3 linked regions of the Neurospora crassa OR74A genome follow. The protein of the gene in region 1 purifies or fractionates together with the protein of each later gene. This does not show direct contact. Links are inferred from orthologs where the notes say so. Each region holds a gene or a part of one and is shown on either strand. Other genes may lie near its edges. The genes, in order: hsp98, NCU07874 and NCU02380.

Evidence for each region.
Region 2: the proteins of hsp98 (region 1) and NCU07874 purify together in Saccharomyces cerevisiae (affinity purification with mass spectrometry; 3 studies listed by BioGRID). This does not show direct contact. The link is inferred for Neurospora crassa OR74A from reciprocal best matches to the Saccharomyces cerevisiae genes HSP104 and PUB1.
Region 3: the proteins of hsp98 (region 1) and NCU02380 purify together in Saccharomyces cerevisiae (affinity purification with mass spectrometry, with the first as the bait; 3 studies listed by BioGRID). This does not show direct contact. The link is inferred for Neurospora crassa OR74A from reciprocal best matches to the Saccharomyces cerevisiae genes HSP104 and THS1.

What each region holds. Positions count from the first base shown.
Region 1 is NC_026503.1:2,634,769-2,640,692, reverse strand, and holds hsp98 (hsp98-like protein), read left to right. Parts: upstream 1-2,076; 5' UTR 2,077-2,571; coding exon 2,572-5,355; 3' UTR 5,356-5,780; downstream 5,781-5,924. Other genes in the region: NCU00105 (ribosome biogenesis protein NIP7), read right to left, coding at 41-167, 348-434, 513-557. UniProt on the Saccharomyces cerevisiae protein: Required, in concert with Hsp40 (YDJ1) and Hsp70 (SSA1) and small Hsps (HSP26), for the dissociation, resolubilization and refolding of aggregates of damaged proteins after heat or other environmental stresses.
Region 2 is NC_026503.1:1,196,141-1,202,078, reverse strand, and holds NCU07874 (nuclear and cytoplasmic polyadenylated RNA-binding protein pub1), read left to right. Parts: upstream 1-1,768; 5' UTR 1,769-2,724; coding exon 2,725-3,105; intron 3,106-3,227; coding exon 3,228-3,323; intron 3,324-3,400; coding exon 3,401-4,048; intron 4,049-4,102; coding exon 4,103-4,223; intron 4,224-4,280; coding exon 4,281-4,477; 3' UTR 4,478-5,485; downstream 5,486-5,938. UniProt on the Saccharomyces cerevisiae protein: May be associated with hnRNA within the nucleus and remains associated during nucleocytoplasmic mRNA transport, once the proteins are in the cytoplasm, disassembly of PUB1-RNA complexes may occur prior to PAB1 binding and formation of a translationally competent RNP complex.
Region 3 is NC_026507.1:2,696,310-2,702,247, reverse strand, and holds NCU02380 (threonyl-tRNA synthetase), read left to right. Parts: upstream 1-1,786; 5' UTR 1,787-1,950; exon of another isoform or gene 1,951-2,072; 5' UTR 2,073-2,128; coding exon 2,129-4,214; intron 4,215-4,288; coding exon 4,289-4,348; intron 4,349-4,406; coding exon 4,407-4,627; 3' UTR 4,628-5,054; downstream 5,055-5,938. Other genes in the region: mus-10 (mutagen sensitive-10 protein), read right to left, coding at 1-66, 129-291, 462-886; NCU02381 (phosphatidylserine synthase), read right to left, coding at 5,374-5,742, 5,842-5,938.

The sequences.
Region 1 (5,924 bases):
AGTAACCGCATAAGGATTCGGCATTGGACATGGAACGTACGGGCAGTGATGTGAAGTCTGAACTTTCCCGTCTTGGTCATCTTTCCAAGGCAGGTACCCAGGCTGAGGAGGGCATCGCGGCTGACACTGGTGGCGAGGTTGGCAACGGAGAGACGGACGTAGTAAACCTGTATATCATCATCTTTGTCAGTTTATCTGGCCCTTATTCTGGTTGGTGGTGGTGTGGTGGCTGTCATCGCCGTCGCAACGGCTGTCGTTGTCCTCGGTGGCGCACAGCCAAAAGGGAAGAGACGGTGTATCGAGCAAGGTCGAGAGGAAGCGAGGGAGGCGAGAGAGGCAGGACGTACGCGAGAGTGGTTCAGACGGAAAACGTATCTGTCGCCATCATCGAGAGGAGCGATAAGACTCTTGAGATCGGTGCAGTAGTTTGCAAGCTTTAGGGTGCCAAAGCAATCAGTCAGCTGTTGTTCATCCTTGTTTGAATATGACATTGTTTCGGCACTGAAACTGACCTTCTCGAAGACGGTCTTCTGCTCCGTTTCTGTAAGAGGGCGCATCTTGTCGGTGTGTTGTGAATTGATGGAGTTGGTGATGCAATGCGAGGGAATCTCCAAGCGCTGACAGCCGCAACCGATGGAGGTTCGCCCGCGTTTCTCTGCCAGAACTTTTTTTTATCGACAAGGAAACCCACTCTTCCGATAATGGGGAGACGCCAAGCCATCAATTCTCCGCTTTAGATGCAATGGCTGCAGTGGATACTCGTAGCTAAAATAGCCGAGTCCCACTTTTACCCGCTTCTACGTTTGCCGTGCGCGACCCCAGCGTGCCGCCCTAGCGACACTGTCACAGGCCGGCAACTGAAGTGACAACCTGAAGCGGATAATATGCCACATCCATGAAGTTTATATTTCCAGAGGGAACTCCTGCATCGCGATGTTCATCCAAGTCCTGGTGTGATGGAAGAAACAAACCCCAGTCGAGGCCAATGATCTCCAGCTGTATCCAGCGGGCTACTCTCTTTCAGGATTCGGTCCTCATCTACACGATTGTTTTCCTGCGCGGCGAGCCTGGCTGACTTCTCAATCGTCCTGGTAGCCCAGATTGCTGGCAGGGTTAACCGTGCAAGTTAGCTTTCCAGAGATTGTAATGCATATCGGAGTGATATCGCAGCAAAGAAGCTCGCTGTTCAACTGACAAAAGCGTAACTAGAAGGCCACTTGACGTTGGAAGTGGCAGCTTGTGGTTCTGGTCGTGAATGGGTCGAGCCATGGCCTTGCACCCATCAAAGAGGGATTATAAGTCAACTTCTACTGACACAAAAAGAAGCCAAACTAGTATCAAGCATCGAGTTGATCGATTGCCATTCAGACTCCTCAACCAGTGTCTCCGTTCCTGTCCGAGGTTCTCAAGTGGGGAGGTGTTGATGACTACATAGTGGCAAACGAGACGTGGGAGTATTGTGGTATAGAATACCACCGAATGCACCGAATTCATCCATCTCGAAGGAATATGAAGTGTGACCAACCAAACTGGCTCACGTTGGGCGCGCTGGTTAGAGGAATCTCATGATACCCAACCCACCACGATGCGCAACATTACGTATTCGACTATCTCGTCGTAGAAATCACGGATGCGCAAGGAGCTTCCCTTACGCGGTAATCGCCGAAGACCTTACTGCGCCTTCTTGGCCAGACCTGTAGATGGGAAAAGGTATGTATGGTGAGAGAGAGATGCTGGAGTGTGAGGATACCGACATTGTGGTTCGTCCAACTGGGAGAGAACGTCCCTTGTTGTTCATCTGCGCAAACGAAGACAAAGAACAACGGTGAAGGATTATAGTGGAAGGAGAAGACGGAAGTGAAAAGAAGCATTGCAGTAACGTCCAGCTGTTTGGGTCTCGACAATCCTCTCTGGTTGGAGTCAGGTCGATGCAGGTACTGCGATGACGGAGAGACAGTCCGAAAGCGCGGACCCCACTGGAAAGCTTCCATGTGCCCCGCCCTCCAGGTACCCACTTTATACCCCTCAAGCCCGAACAGGAGCCAACAGTATATGGTGACAGGAAGACCGCTGAAGATTCGAGTCGCTTCGTTCTTGCGGGCAGCCTGCTTGCTTGTCACTATGATGTCGTCGCTTCCCGTGCGCCCGCCCGCACAGCTACCTCTACTTGCGACAGGCTGCGAGGACCATCGAGAAGCAGCTAGAGGTAGATACTCATCCCACTTGCTCTTGCACGGCCAGCTCGGGCATCAACTCGCGACTTCTCTCCCCACCAAGGCTCACGAATAAATTCCACTCCTTCTGACCTCTCCCCCCCGTCAGCGATTCTTTGTTTGTTCCCCAGATCAAAACACAAAAGTCTACTAAGAGATACCCCAAACACAATTGTTCTTTTCTTCTCCAAGATATACATCAAGAGTGAAGCCTCACGTCACACTAGCTTCATCTCAACATTTCCGCGATTTTTCTCTTTTGTACATCAACAATAACACATACACACACACCCCCAATCGAAACACAACACCACACAAATTCTGTAGGGACCAACAGAGTCTCGCACACTAATTCATCATGACGTCGAAAATGGAATTTACAGACCGGGCCAAGAAGGCATTGGAGGATGCCATGGCCCTGGCAGAGCAATACGCCCACTCGCAACTCCTCCCCGTTCATCTGGCAGTCGCGCTTCTCGACCCTCTCCCAGATCCGAGCAAGGACCAGCAAAATGCACCAGCCGGGGCAACCAGCTCTCTCTTCCGCCAAGTCATTGAGAGAGCCCACGGCGATCCCCAGCTGTTCGACCGCGCCCTCAAGAAGGCCCTCGTCCGCCTCCCCAGCCAAGACCCTCCTCCCGACCATGTCTCGATGGCTCCTTCCTTCCATACAGTCCTGCGCAAGGCCAACGAGCTGCAGAAGACGCAAAAAGACACATACATTGCCGTCGACCACCTTATCACAGCCCTGGCCGAGGAGCCCTCGATCATGAATGCGCTCAAGGAGGCCAACATTCCCAAGCCAAAGCTCGTTACCGATGCCATCCAGGCCATTCGCGGTACCAAGCGCGTCGACTCTCGCAATGCTGACACTGAAGAGGAGCACGAGAATCTCGCCAAGTTCACCATTGATATGACAGCCATGGCCAGGGAAGGCAAGATTGATCCCGTCATTGGTCGTGAGGAGGAAATTCGGAGAGTGATCCGTATTCTTTCACGTCGTACCAAGAACAACCCTGTCCTTATCGGTGAGCCTGGTGTCGGTAAGACTACCGTCGTTGAGGGTCTCGCTCAGCGCATCGTCAACGCTGATGTGCCCGACAATCTGGCCAACTGCAAGCTTCTGTCTCTTGATGTCGGTGCCCTGGTGGCTGGTAGCAAGTACAGGGGTGAGTTTGAAGAGCGCATGAAGGGAGTTCTGAAGGAGATCTCCGAGTCCAAGGAGATGATCATCCTTTTCATCGATGAAATCCATTTGCTCATGGGCGCTGGCGCGTCCGGAGAAGGTGGCATGGATGCGGCCAACCTTTTGAAGCCAATGCTCGCCCGTGGTCAGCTTCACTGCATTGGCGCTACCACCCTGGCCGAGTACCGCAAGTACATCGAGAAGGATGCTGCCTTTGAACGTCGTTTCCAGCAGGTCATTGTCAAGGAGCCTTCCGTTTCTGAGACAATCTCCATTCTACGTGGTCTCAAGGAGAAGTACGAGGTGCACCATGGTGTCACTATTTCCGATGCTGCCATTGTGGCCGCTGCAAATCTTGCGGCCCGCTACCTCACTTCCCGCAGACTTCCTGATTCGGCTATCGATTTGATCGACGAGGCGGCTGCCGCAGTCAGAGTCGCTCGAGAATCGCAGCCCGAAATCATCGATTCCTTGGAGCGCAAGTTGCGTCAGCTCAAGATTGAGATTCACGCCTTGTCTCGCGAGAAGGATGAGGCTTCCAAGGCTCGTCTTGAACAGGCGAAGAAGGATGCCGAGAATGTGGAGGAGGAGCTCAGACCCCTCCGTGAGAAATACGAACAGGAGAAACAGAGAGCCAAGGCTCTCCAGGAAGCCAGGATGAAGCTTGAGAGCTTGAGACAAAAGGCCGAAGAGGCTAGCAGAATGGGAGATCACAGCCGTGCTGCTGATCTTCAGTATTACGCCATCCCCGAGCAGGAGGCAGTAATCAAGAGGCTTGAGAAGGAAAAGGCTGCGGCTGACGCTGCGCTCAACGCCGCTGCGGCCGAAACCGGCGGTGCCATGATCACCGATGTCGTTGGTCCCGATCAGATCAACGAGATTGTAGCACGGTGGACCGGTATTCCCGTCACACGCCTCAAGACCAGCGAGAAGGAGAAGCTTTTGCACATGGAGAAGCATCTCAGCAAGATTGTTGTCGGTCAGAAGGAGGCCGTTCAGTCTGTGTCCAACGCTATCAGACTGCAGCGGTCGGGTCTCTCCAACCCCAACCAGCCTCCCAGCTTCCTGTTCTGCGGTCCTTCGGGTACCGGTAAGACTCTGCTCACCAAGGCTCTTGCCGAGTTCCTGTTTGATGATCCTAAGGCCATGATCCGTTTCGACATGTCTGAGTATCAGGAGCGTCACTCTCTCAGCCGCATGATTGGTGCTCCTCCCGGCTACGTCGGTCACGACTCTGGTGGCCAGCTGACTGAGGCCCTTCGCCGCAAGCCGTTCTCCATCCTTCTCTTTGACGAGGTTGAAAAGGCAGCCAAGGAGGTCTTGACCGTTCTGCTACAGCTCATGGATGACGGTCGTATCACGGACGGTCAGGGCAGAGTCGTCGATGCCAGGAACTGCATCGTTGTCATGACGTCTAACTTGGGTGCTGAGTACCTTTCTCGTCCCAACGCCAAGGACGGCAAGATTGATCCAACCACTCGCGAGCTTGTCATGAACGCCCTGCGCAACTACTTCCTTCCCGAGTTCCTCAACCGTATCAGCTCAATTGTCATCTTCAACCGTCTCACTCGTCGCGAGATCCGCAAGATTGTCGAGCTACGCATTGCGGAAATCCAGAAGCGGCTCCAAGACAACGATCGCAATGTCAAAATCGAGGTGTCGGAAGAAGCCAAAGACAAGCTGGGTGCTCTTGGTTACTCGCCAGCTTATGGCGCTAGACCACTGCAACGTGTGCTTGAGAAGGAGGTTCTGAACCGCTTGGCCGTTTTGATCCTCCGTGGCAGCATCCGCGACGGTGAGGTTGCCAGGGTTGTCGTCCAAGACGGCAAGATTACAGTCCTTCCCAACCATCCCGAGGTCAATGATGAGGACGACGAAATGATGTTGGATGAGGAAGACGCAGTTGACGAGGTTGCGCCGGAATCTGAGATGGATGAGGATCTTTACGACGACTAGATGTCTAATAGGAAAGATGACTCAGTCATGCGCGACGACGTAGAGGTGGACTAGGAGGATTAGTGAAGAAGATAATCGTGGACGCCCCGAGTGTTAGGGAGACGGAAATTTGGTATCATGACTTGAGGAATTTGAAAATGGGATAGCCTTCGGGGTTTAAAGCATGCACATTTTGCATTTGGAGTTTGGGGCCTGTATGTTTAGGTACGTTACATGATATGAAACGAAAGATGTTATGATTCACATGAGGTAGACATGATGTATCTAAAAGAACGGCGGAGAATTGATTCTGAAGATTTAGTGGGAATCAAAATCATGTGTTTACATCAGCCGTGGTCCTTGACATACACTAGGTACATATGATACTCTCCTTCCGCGTACAGTGCAAAGATCATATACAACTTAGCTACTACCGTAACAAAGCTGATTCCGTGTTGCCACGATGACTGAAGTGAACTGCTAAATGGTGAACAAATGTGATTATGGTGTGAGTCTAACGCACCGGTCTCAGACCGTTCCCCAGTCTTGGGTCAAGGGCGAACAAGTAGTCTCGGTTCCTTGCAATAGAT
Region 2 (5,938 bases), about 1.4 Mb from region 1:
TAGGTAGGTAGTAGGTAATTCCAGTTCTAGCGTCGGAGTGTGCAGTCGGGTCCCTGGAACCTCCGCGCGGTTGAGGCTCTTTGTGGGGTTGAAAGGCGTGGGTGCCTTGACCGCCAGCGTCGGGTGCTTCCCCGAGTTGGCCTTGTCGTTCCCGCAATGAAATCCAGGGGACGGGGCGACGGGCCCAGAGGGCAGACAGAATCACCTCACACAGATCCAGCAAAAAAAGGTTCCCTTGCGATGGGACTGTCCGTTTAAGCTTCATCTTGACCACCAATTGCTGTTTATTCAGCGGTTACACAAACTAGAAGCTCTGCGAATCCACTCGATTCAACCCCACACGTAAAGGCTGTATTGTTGCTCGACTAGGTTTAGTTTGAGCTGTCAATAGGTACCTGGCAATTAGCACGGCAGTCAATGACCTATTGTGCGAAAAAGCGGCTGCCGTAAACTCCTCCGTTCGTCACTCTCTACTGCCATACGTCCTGCCAAAGAAGGTATAATTATATATAACTGTGACTTTACTGGACAGAGTGCCAAACCCTCATTGACACAATGAGCCGTTACAGTGGTCGGCGATGACAGATCGGCCCAGCTGGCCGTTCCGTCGTGCTCCATTGGCACGTGTTGGGCGGACTGATGAGATGGAGGGCGAGTCGGGTCATGCATTCACTGCAAGTATCACCCCGGTCTACCCACGCGTTCCATCCCCCTTTTATAGAAAACCATCCAGGTGCCTGCGTTGCGAATGTGGCATGTTCAGCATATTCAGCCCGCGATGAGGTTGTACCGACATCTCTGCATGGATATAAAAGGGCAGTGCCGTTTTGGAGAATGGCAGGGAATGGTATATCTCTTTTGTGTCCATGCAGAGGTGTAGGGCTGGTAAAATCATAGTGTATTTCGTTTCTGCCAAGGTCGTCACAGGGCGCATTGATGATCTCGAAGGGAAAGGAAAGCTTCCAGTTCGAGAATGGAAGAGGGGACCAAACCAAGAAAGCCTGAACCTTGAACCCTTTGGGAGTCAATATCTCAGCTACCCACGACACAGTGTGGTTGGCTACCTTGGCGCCTTGCCTCCAGCCCCCGGGCCGTGAACCAACAACAACTAACCTCCTCGATACCCTCAGCACACACCCATTCATATCTGGTGCTCCGCCTTCAGGATCAAAATGATCAGAATAGGTATGGACAGACAACACGCAAGTCGATGAACGGGAATATACTGATACTCGGACTCCTCGTATCTGTGGTATATATCAGACTATAACAGGTACCTAGGTCCCTTAGCGCCTTACTGGTCAATAGTTTCGATACCTCTACGTCCCAACGATCATAGGAACCACATATGGCATCCATTTACTCAATCAGAGCTCTTGATTCTCTAGACTTTACTCCTATGTTGACACCAAAACGCCCAGAACCTCCATGGTTCTTTCGTTCGAGATTGCTACGGCACGTGTGAAGAAAGGGTTGATTACGAGTATCAGCCCTAGATAAAGACGGCGACGGCCAGTTACTACCTAGGTATACTCTGGTTGCTCGTGCCCGTCCACCAGTGCGAATCGAATCGGCCGGTCATGATCCAACCTGCCTCTGGAGTTCGTCCCGCCCCTCCTCCGCTCTGCAAATGTGCCTTTCTGTCCCTTGACCCTTCCGTCCTCGCGTCTCAGTGGCTGCCTGCCCGCCAATCCCAGGACGATGGCACCATCAAAAATCCCCGTCTTCCCTTCCCCTCCCGTCCTCGTCGCATCTTTCAGAGCTCACCCCGGGCCGTCTTCTCCATCAGGCTCATTGTCAGCTCCAAATGTTTCCCCCCCTTCTCCCTATCTTCTTCTCCCACCGAACAACACCATCGCAGAAGAAACCCAGACAAGTCATCTCTTCGGACAGGCTGTTGTGAATCTCGGGGCGTTTCCTTTTGGGTTTACGGCCGTTTTCCAGTTCATCTTGTCTTTCTTGACTATTTTGCTGTTTAGTTCAGGTCATCACTGCAGTTCCCCTTCTTCTTTTACTTACCTAGTTCCCCTTGTCGGTTATTCGACTGACCGTCACCAACCCATCATCCCTGTCCTCTACTGTTCGCATCAACGGGAGCCATCCTCGTCCCCCGTCTCCGCATCGTCATCGTCCCTGGCTTCAGCTGCTGTTCGCCGGCTCAACAACGATCGCGTGTCTAGACCCCCGATACACGCCGAGATCTCCAGCCATCTACGACAGTGCCATTCCGTTCAGATTCCTTCCATTTCGTGGGCGCAAAGTTTGTCTGTGCACCCAACAGTCTCCTACCCACAGCGAGTCTGCTCCACCGAACGGCCTCCGTTTGCCATCCCATCTTGCGCTACCGCACTGCGCCCGCCCGCCTGTAACTACTATAAAACGAGCTACAAGAACGTGGCCGAGACTCGAGCAATCTTCTTCCGTCGCATCTTTCGCGCGGGGTCAATTTTCTTTTTGCAATAAGAAGTCTGCATCTCCCCGACTGTGATCGGTCAGGTCTTCCTTCTTGCAAGCTTATTCAGTTTCCAGTCAAAGTCCGCTGGAAATTACAGTCGCAGACGCTCCCGTAGTCGTCTACAATCACTGCCTCACCCCATCGTTTCAACAGCTGCTTATAGTGGGGCCTGCTTCGCCAAGGAGGGTCTCTGCGCTGCTCGTCCCCCAATCATCGCCATCGCCGCTCTGCTCGTTGATTTCTACCAGATCCTCGACCATTTCTCCGACATGGCTGACGTTGGCCCGCCTCCCACCACCGGACAGCTTCCCCCTCCACCTCAACCAAACGCAGGCGCGCCCGGCTACGAGAACGGTCAAAACAACAACGCGAATTCCGCACACATGCCTCCTCCGCCGCTGCACATCCCGCAAAACACCAATCCCATCCCTACGGCGATTACGTCGCCCATGGGTGGGAACGGTGACACGAGCGGCATCATGTCGCCCACCAGCGCCGGCAACCCCTTCGGCCGCCGCGCCGCCCCCGAGCCGAACAAGCGCGCTCTCTACGTCGGCGGCCTTGACCCTAGGGTCACCGAGGACGTCTTGAGACAGATTTTCGAGACGACTGGCCATGTCCAGAATGTCAAAATTATTCCCGACAAGAACGTGGGTAAACCTGGCTCCGAGCAGCCGCGAGTTAGTTCATTTTTCACATCAGCCTGTTGAGGCTGCCAGTTTGATTCCTTGACGCCCAAGACATTCTGCTAACAATTCAGGATGACAAACAGCAAAAGGGCTACAACTACGGCTTCGTTGAGTATGATGATCCCGGTGCGGCTGAGCGTGCTATGCAGACGCTCAACGGTCGGCGCGTGCATCAGTCCGTAAGTTCGCCCATTCCACATTACGAATCTTTGGCCATGATTCCATAGAGCAGAGCTGACCACCGGTAATTATGCAGGAAATCCGTGTCAACTGGGCCTACCAGTCGAACAACCAGAACAAGGAGGATACTTCGGGCCACTTCCACATCTTCGTCGGCGATCTCTCCAACGAAGTCAACGACGAGGTTCTGCTTCAGGCCTTTTCTGCCTTTGGCTCCGTCTCCGAGGCTCGAGTCATGTGGGACATGAAGACTGGTCGCTCCCGCGGCTATGGCTTCGTTGCTTTCCGCGACCGTCCCGATGCCGAGAAGGCTCTGAGCTCTATGGATGGCGAATGGCTTGGATCTCGTGCCATTCGTTGCAACTGGGCCAACCAGAAGGGTCAGCCTTCCATTGCTCAACAGCAAGCTATGCAGCAGATGGGTCTTACTCCCACCACTCCTTATGGCCACCACCACTTCCCTACCCACGGAGTTCACAGCTATGACATGATTGTCGCCCAGACCCCTGCTTGGCAGACGACCTGCTATGTCGGCAACCTGACTCCTTACACCACTCAGAATGACCTCGTGCCCCTTTTCCAGAACTTCGGCTACGTCGTCGAGTCTCGTTTCCAGGCCGATCGCGGCTTTGCATTCATCAAGATGGACACTCACGAGAATGCTGCCATGGCCATCTGCCAGCTTAATGGGTATCAGGTCAATGGTCGGCCTTTGAAGTGCAGCGTAAGTGACAATCTCTTATCTTGGACGAGGACATTATTAACCTTTCGTGTGTAGTGGGGCAAGGACAAGACGCCCAACCCTCAACAGTTCGACCCAAACCAGCCTTATAGCCCTCAGAGTGCCCAGACGCCTGGTTATCCCGGCACTCCCTCCACTTATTTCAATAACTATGGCAGTGAGTCTTGACTCGGTGAACTAGTCTCTACATGTCAGCCGCTAATGCACAAAGTAGACTCTTACCCAGGCCAGCAAGGTAACTACAACGGCCCTCAAGCTCAGTCACCTGCCGGCTACGGCTCCCAGATGGGTTACAACGGCCCGCCGAGCGCTGGTGGTTATGGCCGTGGTCAGCCCGGTCCCAACGCCCAGTGGAACCAGCCGTCCCCAGCCCAGAACTTCGGCAATGGGTTTGGTGGTTACCAGGGCTAGAAGCCTAAGAAGCCTCGGTGAGCAGTTGCTTAGTAGTGGTCACAGCATGGGCCACGTCTCTTTTCCGTTCTATTGAAACGCCTTTGCCATGTGGTGGAAAAGTTAATGGCTTTCTCAGCTCCAACTAGAGGTGGGAGGCTTTGCGGCTGCATTCGTGTTAGGATGGTTCTTTTTCACACATCCAGGATGGAAAAAAATCCTCGCTCAAGTCCGGTTGATCAAGGACTGGATTTTGGAACTGGAAGTCATTTTGTTGGGAATTTGGGAGCCTGTCTTCTTTACTTCTCTGGTCTCATGTATCACTCACTGCTCTTCCTTCTTTTCTTTTATCTCTGACCTGTCAAGTTTCGAATGCGTTTTCTTTCTCGCGCTTTCTTCTCTATCTTCGTTTCTCTGAGTGATTCCCACGGGCCAATGGTTCTTTCTGCAAGTTCTTCTCCGTTTGGGTTTTGTGTAATTTCCTTCGGTTTTCTCTCCTCTTCTCTCAAGCTACGATCGAAACGTCTTATCTTACTCTACACTTCTACGTTTGCTAGGTGTTTCTCTCTCGTCTTCCTGATGATATGTTTCCAAAATCTTTCCAACGCTGGATACCAGATTTTCACAAAAGTTAAGTCAGTTTCGAGGTCTTTTACCAGAACACGTCACGACAAGATCTCTTCTTCCCTTTGGCGGTTCTCCAATTTCGTCTCCTTCAGCATTTCAATTCGATGTGTACGCAAGATTCAAGGCGGCATTTTTCTTCCGATATACCCATTGCGCGTTTCCTACCGTTGTATTTTCGTGGGCCTTTGGATGTTTCTTAAACAGATACCCATTTTCCACGTTCCGTTTTCCGGTACGCGATTTCATCTCACGTAGCATCATGTCCTTCAAAATGTACGTTATACCCTTGAAGGACTTAGTAAATGAGGAGGGTAGACTTGTATGAGTCTTTGTATAGAATTGGATGTCCAACAAGCCTCTAGATCGCCGTTTAAAACTTTTGGACTGGATCCAGATGACCTGACAAGATGTCGTTGGTAACCACCAGCGGGGATGATAAGCTTGTTGTGGGACGGAAGAAGGTGTTACGGAGATCGTTCGATCATGACAAGAATTAAGTCCCGTATGCAACGCGTGATAATTATGCAATAGGTGTATGGGACGAAAAGTGAAGGGCAAAGCCATCCCAAGCCTTTTAGGCACGTGGCTTCTGAATGTGCTGATAATGGTCCAGACAATTGATGTCCTGCTGAGCAAGCAGCTGTGGTTCAAGCCGTCTGGTCTTACGGTTCACCTTCAGGTGTAACCCTCTGCCCGTATCTGAGGCAAACATTTGAGAACTAATCGCTTAGTTACCTAAACACTCCTCCATGGAGCCAGACTAACAAGCTCGAAACCTGCGATTTGTTTACCTATTTCTGAGATATGCCACAGGATAGCTGGGCGCGTCGTCCATAACAAATTTGATGAGACCAA
Region 3 (5,938 bases), on another chromosome or scaffold:
CATGATCTTATGTTCTGGGTGCTCCAGCATAAATCTCTGAGCGAGCGTGTCTAGTGTGCTTAGTATCTGTGGAGGAAAATAAGTGTGAGCTAACATGCATCCGCCGCGAGAGATGGCGTTCAACATACGTATTCAAGGTCTTGGGGCTGGTCGTGTAGAACGAACAGGTCGAATGCGCCGAGAGCACGGTCGAGCCCCGAGTACGGATCGGTCCCCGTTTCATAGCACTTAGACCATACCTCTACAGCCATGCCTCTGTGGATACTGTCCAATGCTGAATTCGCATAGTACCTGGATGAACATTTCAGTAACCGAACGGTCTTTGGATCTAGACAAATCCCACTTGGGCCGAGCATGAATGAGATGCCACCATCAGAGGGGGATCAACTGATACACAAGACCCTTGCGTGCAGTGTACGTGAAATACCAAGCTGCATTGCCGTAAGAGAGCTGCCGCGTACCTTCTGGCCAGAACGTCATCGTGGGATTCATCGACGTGACATTGCTCCAAAAGAAAGTCCTTGGCGTCGTAACCGAACTGACAGATGCGCTGGAGATTCTTCAGCTGGTGGTATCTCGTTGTGAGGATCTCGTCCAGGAGGCGTTTAATCAAGTGGTTCTGCCTTTTCCTTCGAAGCCATAGCTTCTTCCACTCGATAGTAGTTGGTCTCGGGTCCGACAGTTTCGCGAAGAAGCAGTGTTCAGGCTCCCAGAAAGTAAACGAGTTTCGGCAAAGATATCGCCATAAGAGCGGTTCGTTGGCAATGTGGTAGAAACGCCGCGAGACTGGCTGAATGTTCAGGACGTTGTCCTCGGGCGAGACATATAGAAGGATGTGGCGGATGAGCTCATCGGGAAAACGGTCCAGTGAGGAGGAGGACGTCATGGCGCGGCTCGCCAGGTGCACACCCAAGGTGTGTTGGCTGCCAATATATGTGCGCGTCTCGCAACTGCTGGTCCGGATCCTGGACGCTGAGTTGTCGGGAGCTGATTTGTTCAAGACGTCAGAGGTATGGAGAAAGAGTTCAGCTCTGGGATTCGGGGTCCAGAGTCGAGGAGACTGTCGAGCGGAAATCCAGCGATGTGCTTGTACTGGGGGCAGATCGGCACAGGGAAGAGGGACGGGAGTGCAGAAGCAAAGTGGAAGCCAGAGAGGCAGACGGTAACCTTTTTGTTCTTCTTCTTTTTTCTTTCTCCGCGTGCCGGGATGAGGTTGAACAATCAATGTGTCATCCTTCCCGTCACTTCTGCTCCGGCGTCACATTAGTGGTAAAGGCAAAACTTAGTTAGAATGGGAGGCGTCTCGGTACCTGGAATTTGAATGACGGCACCTTATCTAATAAATTTGGCTTTTATTATCGCGAGGTCAGGCAGGCACCTATGACTTGCGGCCCGTATGGTAAGGTGCCAAAAGTTCAAAGTTGGGACGGCGCAACGGCGTAGAAGAGATGGCCCGAGCGTCTGCTCTTACTGTGTATACACTATGCAGTACCTTGCGTACTGGTGTAAGTACTTGCAGTGTAAGTGCCTCTACTGCCTTTACGCGCACTTGATGTTTGTACATATGGCTCGCAGGTGTTCGTTCAATGTTCAAAAAATTAGAGTGCACGTGTCTCGCTGCTGTCTGGGCTGCTCCGTCTTGTTGAGTGCCTGTCCGGGCGGCCGCCATTGAGGTTGCCAAACAGTACCTAGGTGCCGCCCTGTCCGTGTCATGACTGCTGCCCTTCCGGGTCTGATATGTACCTATGCGGCTTCCACCTCGTGCTCGCAGCAGAAGTGACGCCTGTACGCTTTGAAGCACCCCACTTTTGCCCTTAACTGATCTGGACCGCGGGGTAAAAGTGTCCCAAAATTTCCCCTTGCGGTCGGTGTCTTTGCGCCGCCTTCGTTCGTTCCGTTCCTCGTCGGTCCAGACGTCCCCTTCTGTGCTGCTATCGTGTCGTGTCAAGAGTGAGTCTCACCCCCCCTTCCTTTCCAACATTTCGTCCCTCTTCGGGCTATTGCGACCATACACGTCTAAAGTGAGTCACAGCCCGGGCCTCTGACACAACCCGCGAAATCGTTATCTTTAGGAACCCTTCAATCGCAACCGAACACCCCCTCCGACGTTCTGTCGACACATTTCAACATGGAGCAGGTTACCGAAAAAGTTACCGAGACCCTCAAGAAGGTCGCCATTGGCGGCGACAAGCCCCAGAAGGAGAAGAAGCAGAAGAAGGAGAAGGGTGCCCCCGCCGCTGGCGGCGATGCCGGCCCTCTTGAGATGAACCCTCCTCCTGCCTTTATCCAGGAGCGTCTCGACCTGTTCGACAAGCTTTACAAGGAGCAGCAGGAGGAGCTGGCCAAGCGCCCCCGCGATGACATCCTCATCACCATGCCCGACGGCACCACCAAGACCGGCAAGGCCTACGAGACCACCCCCGCCGAGATCGCAAAGGGCATTTCCAACAGCCTCTTCAAGCGCACCGTTGTCGCCAGAATCGACGGAGAGACACTATGGGATCTGGAGCGTCCTCTCGAGAAGAGCTGCAAACTAGAACTCCTCGACTTCAACGATGATCAGGGCAAGTTCGTTTTCTGGCACTCGAGTGCCCACATCCTCGGCGAGGCCTGCGAGCGCAGATTCGGCTGCTCTCTGTGCATTGGCCCCCCCGTCGACAACGGCTTCTACTACGAAATGGCTCTTCCCGGCGGTGCCGCTGTCCAGTCTAGCGACTGGGCACCCCTCGAGAACATCGTCACCAAGATCGTCAAGGAGAAGCAGCCTTTCCAGAGACTGGAGATGAGCAAGGAGGATCTGCTCAAGATGTTCGCCTACAACCCATACAAGCAACACATCATCAAGGACAAGATCCCCGACGGCACCAGAACCACTGTCTACCGTAACGGGCCCCTTATCGATCTCTGCCGTGGTCCTCACGTCCCCGACACCAGCAGGATCGAGGCTTTCGCCATCATGAAGAACTCCTCTTCCTACTTCCTTGGTGACGCCAACAACGACTCCCTCCAGCGTATCTATGGTGTCTCGTTCCCCGACAAGAAGCAGATGGCCGCTCACAAGAAGTTCCTTGAGGAAGCTGCCAAGCGCGATCACCGCCTCATTGGCAAGCAGCAGGAGCTTTTCTACTTCGAGGAGTGCTCGCCCGGCTCTGCCATGTGGCTGCCCCACGGCATGCGCATCAACAACGCCATCATGGAATACATCAAGGAGGAGTACTGGAAGCGCGGTTACGACGAGGTCATGACTCCCAACATGTTCAACGTCGCTCTTTGGGAGCAGTCCGGTCACTTGGCTCACTACAAGGATGACATGTTTATTCTCGACGTTGACAAGGAGCAGTTTGGTCTGAAGCCCATGAACTGCCCTGCTCACGCCATGATGTTCCGTCACCGTGACCGCAGCCACAAGGAGCTTCCCCTCAGGCTTGCTGATTTCGGTGTGCTCCACAGAAACGAGGCCAGTGGTGCTCTCTCTGGCCTTACCCGTGTGCGCAGATTCCAGCAGGATGACGCTCATATCTTCTGCCGTGAGGATCAGATCAAGGCCGAGGTTGCCGACCTCTTCGACTTCATGAAGTCCTTCTACGGCATGCTTGGCCTCACCTTCAAGCTGAAGCTCTCTACCCGCCCTGAGAAGTACATGGGTGAGATTGAGACCTGGGACCGCGCCGAGGCTCGTCTCAAGGAGGCTCTCAACGAGTTCGTCGCTGCTACTGGAGGCACCTGGGAGCTGAACGAGGGCGATGGTGCCTTCTACGGCCCCAAGATCGATATCGCTGTTTTGGACTGCCTCAACCGCCCCTGGCAGTGCGCCACCATCCAGCTCGACTTCCAGCAGCCCATCAACTTCTCTCTCGAGTACATGACCGCTGATGCCCAGGCCAAGCAGGATGAGGACAAGGCTGCCTCCAAGGCTGCTAAGCCTGAAGCTCCCAAGGAGGAGGAAGAGGCTCCCAAGGAGGGCGAGGAGAAGAAGAAGAAGGCTCTTCTTGTCAAGAAGCCCCTTACTGCCGGCTGCGCCCGCCCCGTCATGATTCACCGTGCCATGGCTGGTTCCATCGAGCGCTTCACTGCCATTCTTGCCGAGCACTTCGCCGGCAAGTGGCCTTTCTGGATGTCGCCCCGCCAGGTCATGGTCATTCCCGTTGGCATGGGCTTCCTTGATTACGCCAAGGAGGTTGCCTTGACCCTCAAGAAGGAGAAGATCCACGTCGGTATGTTTTCCCTGACTCACCCCCGTTATTGGGCAAACAAAAATCGAATACTGACACCAAAACCACCACAACAGATGTCGATAGCAGTGGCAACACCCTCCAGAAGAAGATTCGTTCTGCCCAGCTTGCCCAATGTAAGTCGCGAGCCTGTTCCCCTTTACCAAAATTGCCCCTTCTAATGACGCAACACAGACAACTTCATCTTTGTCGTCGGCGACGACGAGAAGACCAACCGCAAGGTCAACATCCGTTACCGTGACGACACCTCCACCCAGGCCCGTGACGTGCCCTACTCTCTCGAGGAGGCCGTCGAGAAGCTTCGCGCGCTCAAGGCCGATCGCGGCATGTACAACCCTTTCCCTGCCCATAACCCCAAGAAGGAGGAGGCTACCAAGGAGGAGGTCAAGGCTTAAAGCTCCAGCTCAACTTAGGGAGTACATGAAGCAAAAGAAATAACAAACTCAAATTTAAAAGTTCATGTTGGCAGCAAGGGGGCGGCGTAGGCAGGAGTATGGGTTATAGTCATCTAGCATATGCTTGTTACAGAACGGTAGAGAAAGAGGCGAATATTTTTGTTAAATCTTATACTAAGGAGCCTTTGATATTCTTTGGAAATGGTTTGGTGGTCTGTCGCTCGGGCGCACTGGTGCTTCTGCATAGACCTAAACACTGCATATCAGAAGAAATGATTTCGCGTAGACAGGATACGGACAAGAAGGCGAAGACGGGAAAAAGAGAGAGGGTATTTGTATTCTAAAATGGAAAAGCGTGTACACACTCGCACTACACAATGCAGCCAACCGGATAGTGACCAGAAAGGAAAATGGCAGGAAAAAAAAGAGAGCAGGCATGATAGTCATTTCAACAATTCTCAGAAACCCCCCAGACCCACGGCTAGTTCCTTCTTCTTCTTCTTTCACTTTTTAAGTTTTCTTTTTGTCTCCGCTTTCCATCTGTTAAAGAATTCCCCGTCTTTTGCTTTCCTGCCCAAGACCTTTCTGTCTCTCAATCTTCCCTTTCTCTTCACCGACGTTCAACTCGTAGCGGGCTTCTTCCTTATTGAAATCCAGGCCTTTACCTTTCCATAAACCAACTCAATCATCCCCGTCCCTCGTTCCTTGCGGCACAAGTTCGTAGACCCTAGTCCGTCTTTATGCTTTCAAGGCTTGGGAATATGAATGGTCTTGCTTGTCATCAAGCAGCCGTGGAGCATGAAGATGAGGACAATGGGGTGGAATTCGAGCGCGGTGCCCTGGAACATGGTACCCCACGGAAGTGAATCATGAATCCAGCCTTGCGACACCCAGTAGGCCATAATGGCGTCCAGACCGAGCGTCGTGGGGATCGGCGTGCCCTCAAAGTAGGCAGCCTTGCCGTTGGCGTCCTTCGGGATGGCGGTCGCGGTCACGTTAAAGCGGGCGAGGCGGGTGAGGCCACAGAGGATGAAGAAGCCAAGGCAGAGATGGTCGAGGGGGGTACGGATACCGATGGCGAAGGCGACGACGGCGGGTGCGACGCCAAAGGAGATCTGTTGGTTGGATGGGTTGTGAGTTAGAATGCTTGATGTCCCGGAGAGGGTCGGGGTCGAGGAATTGGGAAAGCGTGGGCAATAATGATGTACACGTACCAGATCAGCCAGCGAGTCCAGCTCTTGGCCCATCATGCTGCTCTTCTTCCTCCAACGCGCGACCTTGCCATCCATGAAGTCGAAAAACAAGCCAAAG